3 linked regions of the Nothobranchius furzeri genome follow. The protein of the gene in region 3 interacts with the protein of the main gene of each other region in a pairwise test. Links are inferred from orthologs where the notes say so. Each region holds a gene or a part of one and is shown on either strand. Other genes may lie near its edges.

Region 1 (3,651 bases), on a different chromosome or scaffold from region 3:
CCTCAGAGACAGTTCCCTCCACATGGTCCCTAGGCATCTACAGTCAGTCAGGAAGTGACAGGACTTTCTAGGTGTTTAGATGCGTGTGATACTGATTATATGTTTATAGAGACAACTAGGCAGCTTTGATTTAATAACTCACAAAGTTAATGTGTAAAAACTTACATTTCCAATAGATTTTGATTATTGAAAAACAAAAATTCCTCCACCAAGAACCACCTCAAACATCTTAACAATCCCTCCACTTTTGCCAAACAATCAGATAGCTTTAATGATCAACCGTTTTTTTTTTTTTACAGAAGGATGTAATAAACGTTCAAACTGAGGATACGACAATTTCACTCCACGTCCATCTTGTCCTCAGAGAAGAAAGCCTGGAGAGTCTTGCCCTCGGAGATGTAACGAATGCACTCAATCTCACCACCGCTGTTGCTGGGCTTCTGAAAGTGGATTTCAAGGTGGTCCTGCAGGTCCTCCTCATCTTCTTTACCCCCAATGACGTCCAGAAGGATGGTTCGTTTTACAGAACCACAAAATGTCTGGAACACACAGATGAGATCTTAGTTAAGAAGTACTCTGTACAAAAATATGAACACAAAACTTTGTTTTTGCTCTTATTTTTCATGAGTTCAACTCAGAGATCTGAAACATTTACTATAAACACTAAAGACCCATGACTCTCAAATAATGTTCACAAATCTGTCCAAATCTGTGTCAGTGAGCACTGAGATCATCTATACCACCTCACAGATGTGGCATACCAAGGTGCTGATTAGCATGAATCTGCACAGGTGTGCCTTAGACTGGCCACAATAAAAGGCCACTCTGAAAAGTGACGTTTGACCACACAGCAGAATGACATTAATGTCACCTGCTCATTAATATGAGCAGGTGGACAACTAACACAGATACATTTTATTAATGGCATTTTGTCCCTGGGCAAGACACTGAGTCATTTATCATGTTTCCTCTTGACTGAGAACATGAGGGTTAGGGAGGTGTTACCGCAGATCAGGAGCAGGACTCATCAGATCTGAACCAAGATGATAACTGATGTTAACACGTTCAACCGTCAGTTCAATCTGAAATTGTTTTCAGATTTTAATATTATGTCTCAGGTTTTGCAGGAATTCTGATGTTCTCTGGCTTAGATCTCATTGGGACACGTGCTCCTAATCGAACTAGTGTGTGAAGGACTGGCTGTTCTTTAATAAACTTTCCTCACCTGAAACTTTTGCAGATCATATCTATATGTTGGTTCAACCTTCAGGTGTTCTTCATGTTCTAGATCAACGATGTAATCTCCTCTCATGGCCAGGTCCACAGCAACTACAGATAGGTGTTAGTCATAACACACACACACACACACACACACACACACACACACACACTGAAATGAGATTATTCCATATTTTCATGTGTGTCTCCTAAAGTCGCCAAAGGCCTTCAGATCTGTAGCTAGTGAATTATTAGAAAAGTACTGGAGGGGCCTGAATACTTTCTAAACACAGCAACAAGTGGCTAAGCTAGCCACACCGGTAGCTAGTGGTTTGAAATAGTATTTTTGCAGCTGTAGCATCACCAGACCAAACAGAATCAGGAAGCAGCAACAGATAAAAAGCATGTCAGAGCGTTGACCTAATAAGCAGATTAAAGCTGCCTGTTACCGAGGCAGAACCTGATATAACGGATTTTCTGCTGAATGAAAAATGCGTACACAAAACCTGTCCAAGTTAACCACGACCTACAGCAACAGCAGAAGTATGTAGGTAAAAGTACCTCCAGGATGTAGAAATATCACGCGTCCCTTTCTGCTCTCCTCATCGTAATCCACACTCTCCACCTCTCCTCCACCCCGGCTGCTTTTAGAAAAACTCATCTCCAGTCTGTCCTTTATCCTCTCCTCTGGCATGGAAGGAGGGACATCCAGAACTTGTAGCTCCTTCCTGGACATATCAAGGTGGACCTACATCCAAATCACTATTAGAAATGAGGTTCTGATGGTAATAAGAGAAGCCCACCCCATCCTCACACCTGACCTGCAACCCAACCCAGCATCCCACCCAAGAATCCCATTCCAGCTTTCAATCCCAGAATTTGTCCTAAAAGTGGAACTGGGCTGTAATCTAACTTCTTTACAGACAGAAGGATTGTGGGTATTTATCTTGTGCAGATTACCAGCGCCTCAAATAGTGTGCAAAAGTTTTAGGCAGGCACGAAGAAATGCGGTCAACAAAGAATGCATGCAAAAATATAAATGAAGATCTTTTTATTTTTTTTTATCAATTTACAAATGTCACAAATGAGAACTTTTTGAAGCAGCTTGTTTTAGGCACATAATAAATAATAATAAATAATAGCTTACTGCCTTTGTGTGGTTACCTGTAATCTTATTATCTTCCTCTTCCTTTTTAAGTGTGTGTGCTGCTGTAGCAGGTGAATTTCCCCACTGTGGGATTAATAAAGTCTATTCTATTCTATTCTATTCTATTCCCCAAACCAATCTCTGACAGAAAACGAATGGATGGATTTTTTCACGTTTAGAGTGTTTATAGACAGTAGAGAACCAAGCGGCAGCACAAAAGGATTCAAAAGGTGGCATTTGCATACCGTATGTCTCCTTTAATAAATAGATACTTTATGATTTTATTTCATTTTTATTTACTGCGTTAACAACATAAATCATATTTGATTTTAGATTAAATTAGTTTTTGAATATATATAGTTTTGTTAAATCCTTATTTTAAAGGTTGAGTTAACTGAAAAACCATTTTTAATGATTAATTCTGATTATAAACAGTACCTCTGGGATTTTCCTGTAAGCTGAACATGAAAATAGTCTCCTACACCCATCTCCTGCATTAGCTTCTGATAGAACATAGACGATCAAATTTTAGGATTAGAAAATCCTGACACATCTACGTCACACTGTCACCTAACATTTATGGACTCACCCATCTTGAATCACGACGAAGAAGTTTGTTGTTGGTTTTGCGTCCAGAGATCAGCAGCGGAAATCTCGGCTAGTTTAAGCTAACTATTAGCATTAGCAACTTCACCACACAGCAGAACTCCTTCAGGCTTGTGTTATTGGTGGAGACAAGATATCCACATTGCAAGTCAGTGGTAGAGTCGTGTTGCTGTTATCCAATCTGGTGCGAGATGTCCAAATGTCAGGAAATGAGACTCCTGCACCTGCCGTCTGAAGCTCAGTTGTGGTGTGGGAAATGTTTAGATCTGAGAAAAGGTGAACCGGTATACCCCCCCCCCCCCCCCCCCAAGAGAATAACTTACGAGGCATTCAATCCTACTAGAGACCACTGCAAATGTACTGATTAAATGAGCGAACCACTCCTTTAAGTCGCTGTGAAGTATCTGAAACGTTACCTCAAACGTCACAGGTGTTTCCATGGTGATTCTTTTAGGTTTGACATCCAGAGAGGAGTCCTCACAAGTCACCCGGCAGTGGGCCATTTTCAGGATCTGAGAAGCCACTGGAGGACCAAAAACACCACATACTCGTTTTCACCAGGAACAACAGCTACCCTGATACCTCTGTCTCTGACTGACAGCACTCTGAGAGCTACTCCTTCATACAGGTGGCTGAAGGATTACCTAAACAAATTAATCCAAGAGCTGGAAAGAACTCCA
Region 2 (4,118 bases), on a different chromosome or scaffold from region 3:
AACCAGGAACTGCTTCTGTCAGCATGGACACAAACTCCTGCAGCTTCCCATAGTTCATCACATCTTTCCCCTTCATCAGATTCCACATAGCAGCAGACAGAAGATGCAAGGGAGGCACCAGGAGGCGAAAGGAGGGCAAAGGGAAGTTTGGGTCTGAAACATTAATGTGTAAAGTCAGAAATGACCGATGGAGGGCAGTAACACACCCCCTAATTCAGAGAGCATTCAGAGTACTTGCAGGAAACAGCAGGTGGATAAAATTTTCACGATGTGATTTTGCAAAGTTCTCACATTTTACACATAACTGAAACAGTTATTGGCTTCATACAGATAATTAAAAACAATCAAGCAATAAAACAATCACGTGATCTGTTACATTGTTGTCTGTCATTTGCTTGCTTGCTTGCTAAAGTCACTGAGACCAGTCAGTGACTGGATGCAGTTTGCTGGGTTCCTTATATAGGAAACTTTTTTTCCTGATTGGCTTAATGAACTGACCTGTATTGGAATGTTAACTATGTGAAGTGCCTCGAGACGACTCTTGTCGTGATTTGGCGCTGTATAAATAAACTTGAATTGAATTTGAGCTACAGGCTTTTGAACTGGAGAAAATCCTGGACAGATCTTTAACATTTTAGATACACAATCTGGAAAATGTCCACAGATGTTACTCAAAAGCTTCGCAACTTAGTTAAAACAATATATCGCGTAAGAGTGTCTGTACATTTAACAGCAAGCTAACTTCCACTGCGCAACAACAACAGTCTGCCAAATAATGAACATTGTGGTTCCTTTAAATAGACAGAGCCCACTGATAGTAAAACAAACACGTCTCCAGAAAATATCAGAAAGGCAAACTGGTAACATACATACCCTCCATTTTTTCTTTTGATTCCACAACTTCCATTAAAGCATCCCACCAAGTGAATTTGAGGAATCTGTGTATATTTGTGCTGTTTGTTTTGGTGGCTAATGCGCTATTAGAGCGCAAGCATCGCTTCCTCAAGTATTCACTCAAGTTTCCGCTTTTCAAAATATATGTCTGAAAGACGTGTTTTGGTGTTTTCTAATGAATTTCAGAATGCTATTATTTTCAAGTTCTTTTTTACTTCAAAGCCAATGACTAGATAAAGAAAAAGTTTAGAAAATTTCGACAGCTCGAAATATAAAAGTGTGAATTCGAGTGCATTGATGCCTCTTCAAAATAAAAGTTAATCATTTCCTTTTCCTAGAGTGACGTAATCACGTAGCCAGTCACACTGCTCAGTGTCACGTGAAGCCTTCAACGGTGTAAATGTTTTGTTTCATGTCATTTTTTCTTTCAAATTTCGTGCCATTAGACCTGAAACCACATTCCTATTCACAGGAAGTGTAAAACGCTAACATGGACGAGGACGGCCTGCCGTTAGTCGGGTCAGGAGTCGATCTTACGAAGGTTTGTGTTTCTAACTGGTTAGCTAACACTGAAAACCTGAGAACCCAAAGCTATGTTTGTGCTTTTTAACAAAATATATAATCACTAATGCAGAGAAAACTGTGGCCTTTTTCTAACTAATTTCACCTACTTGTAACTGTTTGCCTAGTCATTTTCCTTTTGGTTTGTTCTAAAGAAGTATCAAAAGAGGAAAGAACGTTTTCTCTCCGAACACTGATGTTCTATTTGAATACATCATTCATTAGATTCTATTACCGGTGTTGTGCCGAAAAGAGCTTGTCTGCGAAAATGTGCATCCCCTGCGGGAAGGCGCGTATGAGACCGCTTTTTAATAAATGTGTACAACATGAGCTGCATCCTTCCTTACAAAATGATGGTTTATGAGCAAATAAGTAAAATAAACTACTGTTTATAACATGTTTTATTTTAAGTAATATAATGCACATATAAAAGGTTAGTCATTTTGAGTCTGCTTTTTTAAACCAACAAAATTGTTTAATACTTGCTAAAACATTAGTGTCAAACGTGTTGAAAAAGGTCAATTATTTAATCATTATTTCATCATATTTGTAGTCAAAAACAAAATCTTTTCAGGAGAAACACGGATTAGAAACGTGTTCAAATTCTGAATTGCTCATAATTCAAATTCTTCTTCAATTTGCGTCTTTCGACGGGGATACACATTTCGGTAGGCGTGCTCTTTTCGGCACAACACCTGATATACAGTAGTCTGTTATTCCAAATGTTTTTCCTCCACACCGATTTGCATCCATTATATGCAAAGTCAGACATGTGGGTAGAGTAGCCAGAGATTATACTCAAATAAGAGTAGCATTACTTTCATATATGTTTACTTGAGTAGTTAAAAAAAAGTACAAAAACTGTGTTTGCAAAAAAGCTGCTCAAATAATGAGTAATCATAACAGCTCCTTTAATTTATAAAATCCATTCAAACAGATAATAGTATAATGTTATATGATAAATTATATAATGTAAAGACTTAATTAAAATGTTGCATTTCTTTTTCCTAAAAATACTCAAGTAAATATAATTAGTAACTACCCAACACAGAAAATCAGATTTGATAGTTTTCATCATTCTTTTTGCCATTAGCATTTTGTTTGATGCAAGACTTTAAAGGTAGAACTCAGCTGCTTTTAAAATTCTCTCAAATACTTGAAACTTTGCAATAATCCACAGGTTACTGTATGTTATTGTGTTGTTTAAATAACACTGCTAACACATGACCCTGGTCTGTTTATGTAGATGTTGTTTATTCTCCCTGGTGTTAATTGTTGTTTTGTACTGCTTTGTTTCAATAAAGATTTACAAAAAACATTTTAACAGCAGTAGTTAAAAGTCATTTTAGAATCCCCTCAATATTATTTAAAGCCATAACATTCAAAAATCAATTATACTAGAGGTTTATGTTTAGTAAAATAAACTATAGTAACACTTGGTAAGTTTTTAATTATACTGCTTTTATCTTTTCTCAGGTTCCTGCAATACAGCAGAGACGAATCGTTGGATTTCTCAACCAGTTTGTTGTGCACACCGTACGATTTCTTAACCAGTTTTCCACCGTGTGTGAAGAGGTTTGTGTTTGTTTGTTTGTTTTTTACTCCTTAATGCTTCTTCTGCCTCAGAATATGAACTCAAATTATGTATTTATTTATTTTTTTTACTTCTCTTCACAGAAACTTGCAAACATTTCTCTTCGCATACAGCAGATTGAAACCACACTCAGCATTTTAGAGGCTAAGGTAACTTGTGAGACCTTGATACCGTTTCTGGATGTTGTCTTTTCACTTATGCAGTGACATTGTTCTGAGCAGCTGTCCTCTATTCCTGGACTGGAGGACGTCACAGTAGAGGGCCTCAACCAACAGCAGGCCTCCCACACTAAAGGACCCAGTACTATCGGTCAGAACCTAACTAACGGTGTAGCAGCAGGACCACCTTCTTCCTCAGAGGTAGGAGTTCAGACCCACCTGCAACAGACATGCAGGTTCAATCGGCCACGATGAATGCCAAAACAGTCTTTGTGTCTTTTTTCTTGTTTGGGAGTCTGTGATGCCAAAAATCGGCAGTTGAACTTTTCTTTTTAAGTCGGAATGTAGATTGTCATCAGCTCTTTGGTCGATGCAACAAGTAGAAACCTGCCGTCAACGCAACTGTTGTTTTGTTTTCTTTTGGAGTTTACGTACAAAAAAGGCTCAACATTCCCCTCCTGTTGTAAAGGATAGACTTTTAGTTTTGAGAACCTTCAAAGAAGTATGTTTGTTACTGGCTGCTTTGTTTGCATAGTGATCGGATTGGATTTTGATTGTCCTCCTCACACTCTGACAGGATTGTAAAATCCTATCCAGAAGTGTGACGTTACATATTTACAGTGAGAAAGGTGGAAAACCTTCAGGGCAGATTTCCTGAGTCTGCAGCACAGAGTTCAGGCCGAGGTCAGTAAACAAGCCATCACTTTTGGTTAAAACAGTGCACCAGGTCAGCTCAAACACCTCCTGTCCTCTGTAAAGCACGGTGGCAGGGGGCTGATGATTTGGGCTTATTTCTGCAGTGACTGAGTCAAACATGAACTCCTCTTTACACCAAAGTGGTCAGACTTAAACTGAAGTATAGATTGGGTCTCGCTGATTAATTCCCATCGTTACTGTGCAAACAAGACAGG
Region 3 (4,113 bases):
TATGTTTTACTTCAATTTAAATGATAAATAATTATGTGTTTTGACTATGTCTGTCACGTAATTTGAGATTTATTTGCTTAAAAAAGTCATAAATAAAAAAATTACAAAGCAGAAGTTGCAAACTTGCAAATATGACGTCGGCGCAGAATCTCATCTCCCTAGCGTAGCTGCTACTTTGCACGTGGCCAGATTTATAACCTTAACTCTGAAAACATATTTTTTATTATTATTTCTGATCAGTCACTAAGTTATGCTGGCTGAACATGAAAATAGTCTCCCACACATATGTCCTGCTATGGTGAAACAAGGATTAGAAAAGCCAGTCAGTGTTAGAGGTGCGTTGCTGTTAAGTAATCTGAGGTAAAATGTCCAAATGTCAGAAAATAAGACAGCTGTGATGAGGCTCACTTTTGGTTCCTGGAAATGCACCGGTGCCCCCCCCCCCCCCCCCCCCCCCCCAAAAGATGATTTCAATTTTAGATATGGTATATTTATTTCCCCACGTTTAGAAAATGGATTCCTACATCAAAGAATTAAATTAGACATTGGGCCCTGTCAACAGATATTAATCTCATATAATCAGAAGGAGGAGAATTTTTTGTGGTCTGTTTATTACTTTTTACAACGTGAAATATAATTATTGAGAGTAATATTCAGTTTCAATGGTGCTGAGCTGGATAATGATGCTGGATTATCTCCCTCCCCAACTACATCGGTCTCTCATTATCATTCCACCTGTGCGGTTCACAACTGTTTAAATTAGAGCCCATCATTCACTTTCTGTCTTTAGGGAGGCAGAAAAAAAATATCTCCAGTGTGAAACTTGTAATAGCTACATCTGGTGGCGAAAATTGAATACTGCAGCTGCAGCGTGGAGGTAAAATAAAATGGGTGCTTCCAAAAGTAGTGTTCACCTTGTAGATAGTTTTCAGCCGCTTTCAGAATTTAACTGTCAGCTCAAAATCAGCAGATTGTGTAAAAAAATAAAAAAAACTGAAAGAAAGGCTTATCAGGCCAGTCTGAGAAACAGCGTTTTCTCTTCTCTCCTGCTCAGTCTCTTTTCATGACTAATAGGAGCGAAGCTTAAAATTAAATCAGCACTGCGTTGATCTAAAGTAGCAAAGGTGCAACACCAAATAACGAGTTTTACTCTGAGGTTTGCAGCAGAGATGAGCTGCAGAGCGTCCTCCCTCTCTGAGCAGTGAGCTGCTCTCTCCTGGTTTATTTTGAGGGGCTCTTATCACAGCTGTTGCATCAGTGGTGGCCGCCTGTCCGAGCCCCTCCACACTCTTTCTGTTCCCCATCTGGCCCTCAGTCCTGGTAAGACCCTGCCTGCTCTTTACCCTGCTTCTTTTCTGATATTTGCACACAAATAACATAGAATTCTTGGTTTCCTAACATCTGTCTCACACGTCTAACAAACGTGGGACTGACTCCAGTGGCGGTTTGGAGTTTGCCAAGTCTGTTGAAGATGAGATGCTGTTAATTGCAGTGAGACTTTCCTGCGTCATTTGCTGTCAGAAGTTAAAATTGTCTGCTGGTGAGAGAAAAGGGAACATTTTAACCTCTAATGAAACGCTGCATAGTTAAAAGAGTTTTCCTACACATAGCTCTGTAAAATTTCCATTTTAACATGTACTTCTTTATAAAAGCGTTAAAAGATCAGAGATATTTGTCTTTATTTGAAGTTTAACCACAATAAAAAGATGTTTTCAAGAAACACTGACCCTGACATAAAAAAAGAGTGGAATAGAATTAAATAATAAACAACATGCCCATATTAAGAAGTTCCTAAAATAGCTTGTGGGTCTGGAACAGGTGCCATTTGCTCTTCTTGTGAAAGCTAATTATATGCATCTAAACAGGCTCTGGCTGCGAGTACGACTCCACAGATACAAGCATGATGGACTTTACTACACCAGGAAAGCTTTGTTCGGGTTTATCACCTCGCTGCTGCAAAGACATTGAAATTCATATAAAAAAAAGGCATTCAGATATTTCATCTAGAGCATTATTTGGTGCGTATTTCTGTTTCTGCAAAAGAAATGTGCACCAAAGTTATGTTTTTAGTCTAATAAACAAAAACAACTTCAGCAGCATAGAATATTTAAATAAGAAAAGCTTCTTGGTGGTGGAATCTGCTTAATTCTGATTAATCTGTTATGATTTCACTCAACAATATGTATGTGAAATCTCCAACCAGTTTTCTCTGTAAATCTTGTTAGGATCTGCAAGGTGCTCAAATGGAGGAAAAACACTTGATATGAGGTTTTTAGACTGAATTTCAAGGTGTTGATTTTAATGTCAGGTTACATAGTTGAAGATTTCTTTATCATTTAAGTGCTGCTAATTTAGGCATCAAACACACAAAAATTCAGGCTGTAAATGTACTCGTTGTTGCTCTTAAACATCACAGGTTTGGATACTGTAGCTGTTGTGGATAGCACTGAACAACCTCAGTTTGGAGAAGCAGAGATGAGTTCTGACTGGACAAATGCTGATCTCAGTGGGGCAAGTCACAGACTGATTAGGAATATCTCAAAAGCCTCACAGTAGTTAGTGTGAATTAACTACATAAGACTCTGGTGGTTTGCAGCAGAAACTAGCTGCTTTAGCATTTCTGAAATTAAATGCTTAAAAGGCTACGGTAGACCAGCTTGTTTGTCATACCAGAGATAATTTCTGTTCCTCTTAAAGCCAGGCGTTCTCATGTGAGAATCTTTGAGGTTGAGGCGAGTTTGGTGTTGTGTGTCCAGTAGTATACAGGGATTACGAGAGGCGATTAGCACCGCACGACCAGCTCCCAATCAGTAATTGCACAAATATCAAACATGTTTGATATTTTCCTCATCCCTCGTGAGGTTATCACACTGTTGGAACAGCGCTGCGAGCCAAAAGTACCAGAACTGCTCACACAGCGCATGCACCAACACGGCTCGTCAGCTATTTTCGTATCAACTCAAGCTGTATTACTTATTTTTATACTTTTCTCTACACACAGTGACAAGGATTGTCAAGAAAGTGTGTTTTATGCCAAATAAAACATTGTTTTACTTCCTTTCTTTTGTCTTCCTTCTCAAACCCCCATAAACCCCATGTTGTCCTTCTATGGCAAGCCCGAAGGATAACACACATTAATAACATAGTTTGAATATGTTCATTTTTCCAAATAAATGCTGAAAAAAAACCCACCAGTAACAACACAACAGGTTTTAGAAATCGAAAGTCTGACATGTTGCGTAAAAACGACTATTTGTAGCATATTTTAGCTCCGATGTGTTGCTAGCACACATACAGTGTGAACAGTACAGTGAGAGAACATGTGAGCTTTGCTCTGCGAGGAAGTCATCCAGTTTGAGATGGAGCTGAATGCTACGAGTGAAAGCCACACAATGTCCACCCGTCCTAACTGATGTTGTCCAAAAGGCTTTATGGAGGATGTAAGATATTCATTGCTTTTGGCCTTTTAAGAGAAACACTTCAAAAAGCGGAACCCCCGCTTTTATGATCTTTTATGGTTTTCTTTCCAGTAAACCACTTTTAAAGTGGCCTAAATTGTACAAATAAATCAGATGTGGCTACACAAACTAATTGTCACGGTGTAGGAGGTGGAGATGATGGACCGCTAATTAGGGAAACATGGGCAGGTAAACGAGGGACAGGTGAGAACAATAAGGGCAATCACGGCAGGAGAGGAACACAGTCAGGTTGGGCAGGGGCAGATCGTGACACTAATATTAAAAAATCCTAACATGTTTTTTGTTTGTAATGGGGAGACTGTTTCTATAAAACCTCAGATATGATGTTTAATTCAACGATGAAAACAGATTTTTTTTTATGTGAAAAAGTGATCAAAGCATTTTTGTTGTGAGATAACAGACAGAGCAGCCGTGATCTGTCTGTAAATGATTTATTTTTGGTCTCTCGTGCAGAGGCAACTGTCTCCTTTGTGTTGCTACTAGCTCAGAATAATGGAGGCTTGTCAGGAGAGCAGCACTGCCCCCACCGGTCCCGAGGCATCTCCGGTCGAGGATCACCACATCGACCTGACAGAAGACCTGGGCCAACAGCTGGAGGACATCATTAGCACCTACCAGGCAGCCCCGAATCCAG

What was found.
Region 1: the proteins of txlnbb (region 3) and nmi interact in binary tests that used the Homo sapiens proteins (3 or more experiments, as listed by UniProt). The two-hybrid records come from large-scale screens. The link is inferred for Nothobranchius furzeri from reciprocal best matches to the Homo sapiens genes TXLNB and NMI.
Region 2: the proteins of txlnbb (region 3) and washc3 interact in binary tests that used the Homo sapiens proteins (3 or more experiments, as listed by UniProt). The two-hybrid records come from large-scale screens. The link is inferred for Nothobranchius furzeri from reciprocal best matches to the Homo sapiens genes TXLNB and WASHC3.

Annotation. Positions count from the first base shown.
Region 1 is NC_091746.1:33,689,457-33,693,107, forward strand, and holds part of nmi (N-myc-interactor), read right to left. Parts: intron 3,495-3,651; coding exon 3,388-3,494; intron 1,967-3,387; coding exon 1,780-1,966; intron 1,330-1,779; coding exon 1,226-1,329; intron 540-1,225; coding exon 339-539; 3' UTR 1-338. UniProt on the Homo sapiens protein: Acts as a signaling pathway regulator involved in innate immune system response.
Region 2 is NC_091741.1:43,372,270-43,376,387, reverse strand, and holds the start of washc3 (WASH complex subunit 3), read left to right. Parts: upstream 1-1,249; 5' UTR 1,250-1,384; coding exon 1,385-1,435; intron 1,436-2,931; coding exon 2,932-3,030; intron 3,031-3,132; coding exon 3,133-3,198; intron 3,199-3,270; coding exon 3,271-3,408; intron 3,409-4,118. Other genes in the region: uncharacterized protein, read right to left, coding at 1-153, 874-907. UniProt on the Homo sapiens protein: Acts as a component of the WASH core complex that functions as a nucleation-promoting factor (NPF) at the surface of endosomes, where it recruits and activates the Arp2/3 complex to induce actin polymerization, playing a key role in the fission of tubules that serve as transport intermediates during endosome sorting.
Region 3 is NC_091758.1:20,072,683-20,076,795, reverse strand, and holds the start of txlnbb (taxilin beta b), read left to right. Parts: upstream 1-1,197; 5' UTR 1,198-1,320; intron 1,321-3,932; 5' UTR 3,933-3,971; coding exon 3,972-4,113. UniProt on the Homo sapiens protein: Promotes motor nerve regeneration. May be involved in intracellular vesicle traffic.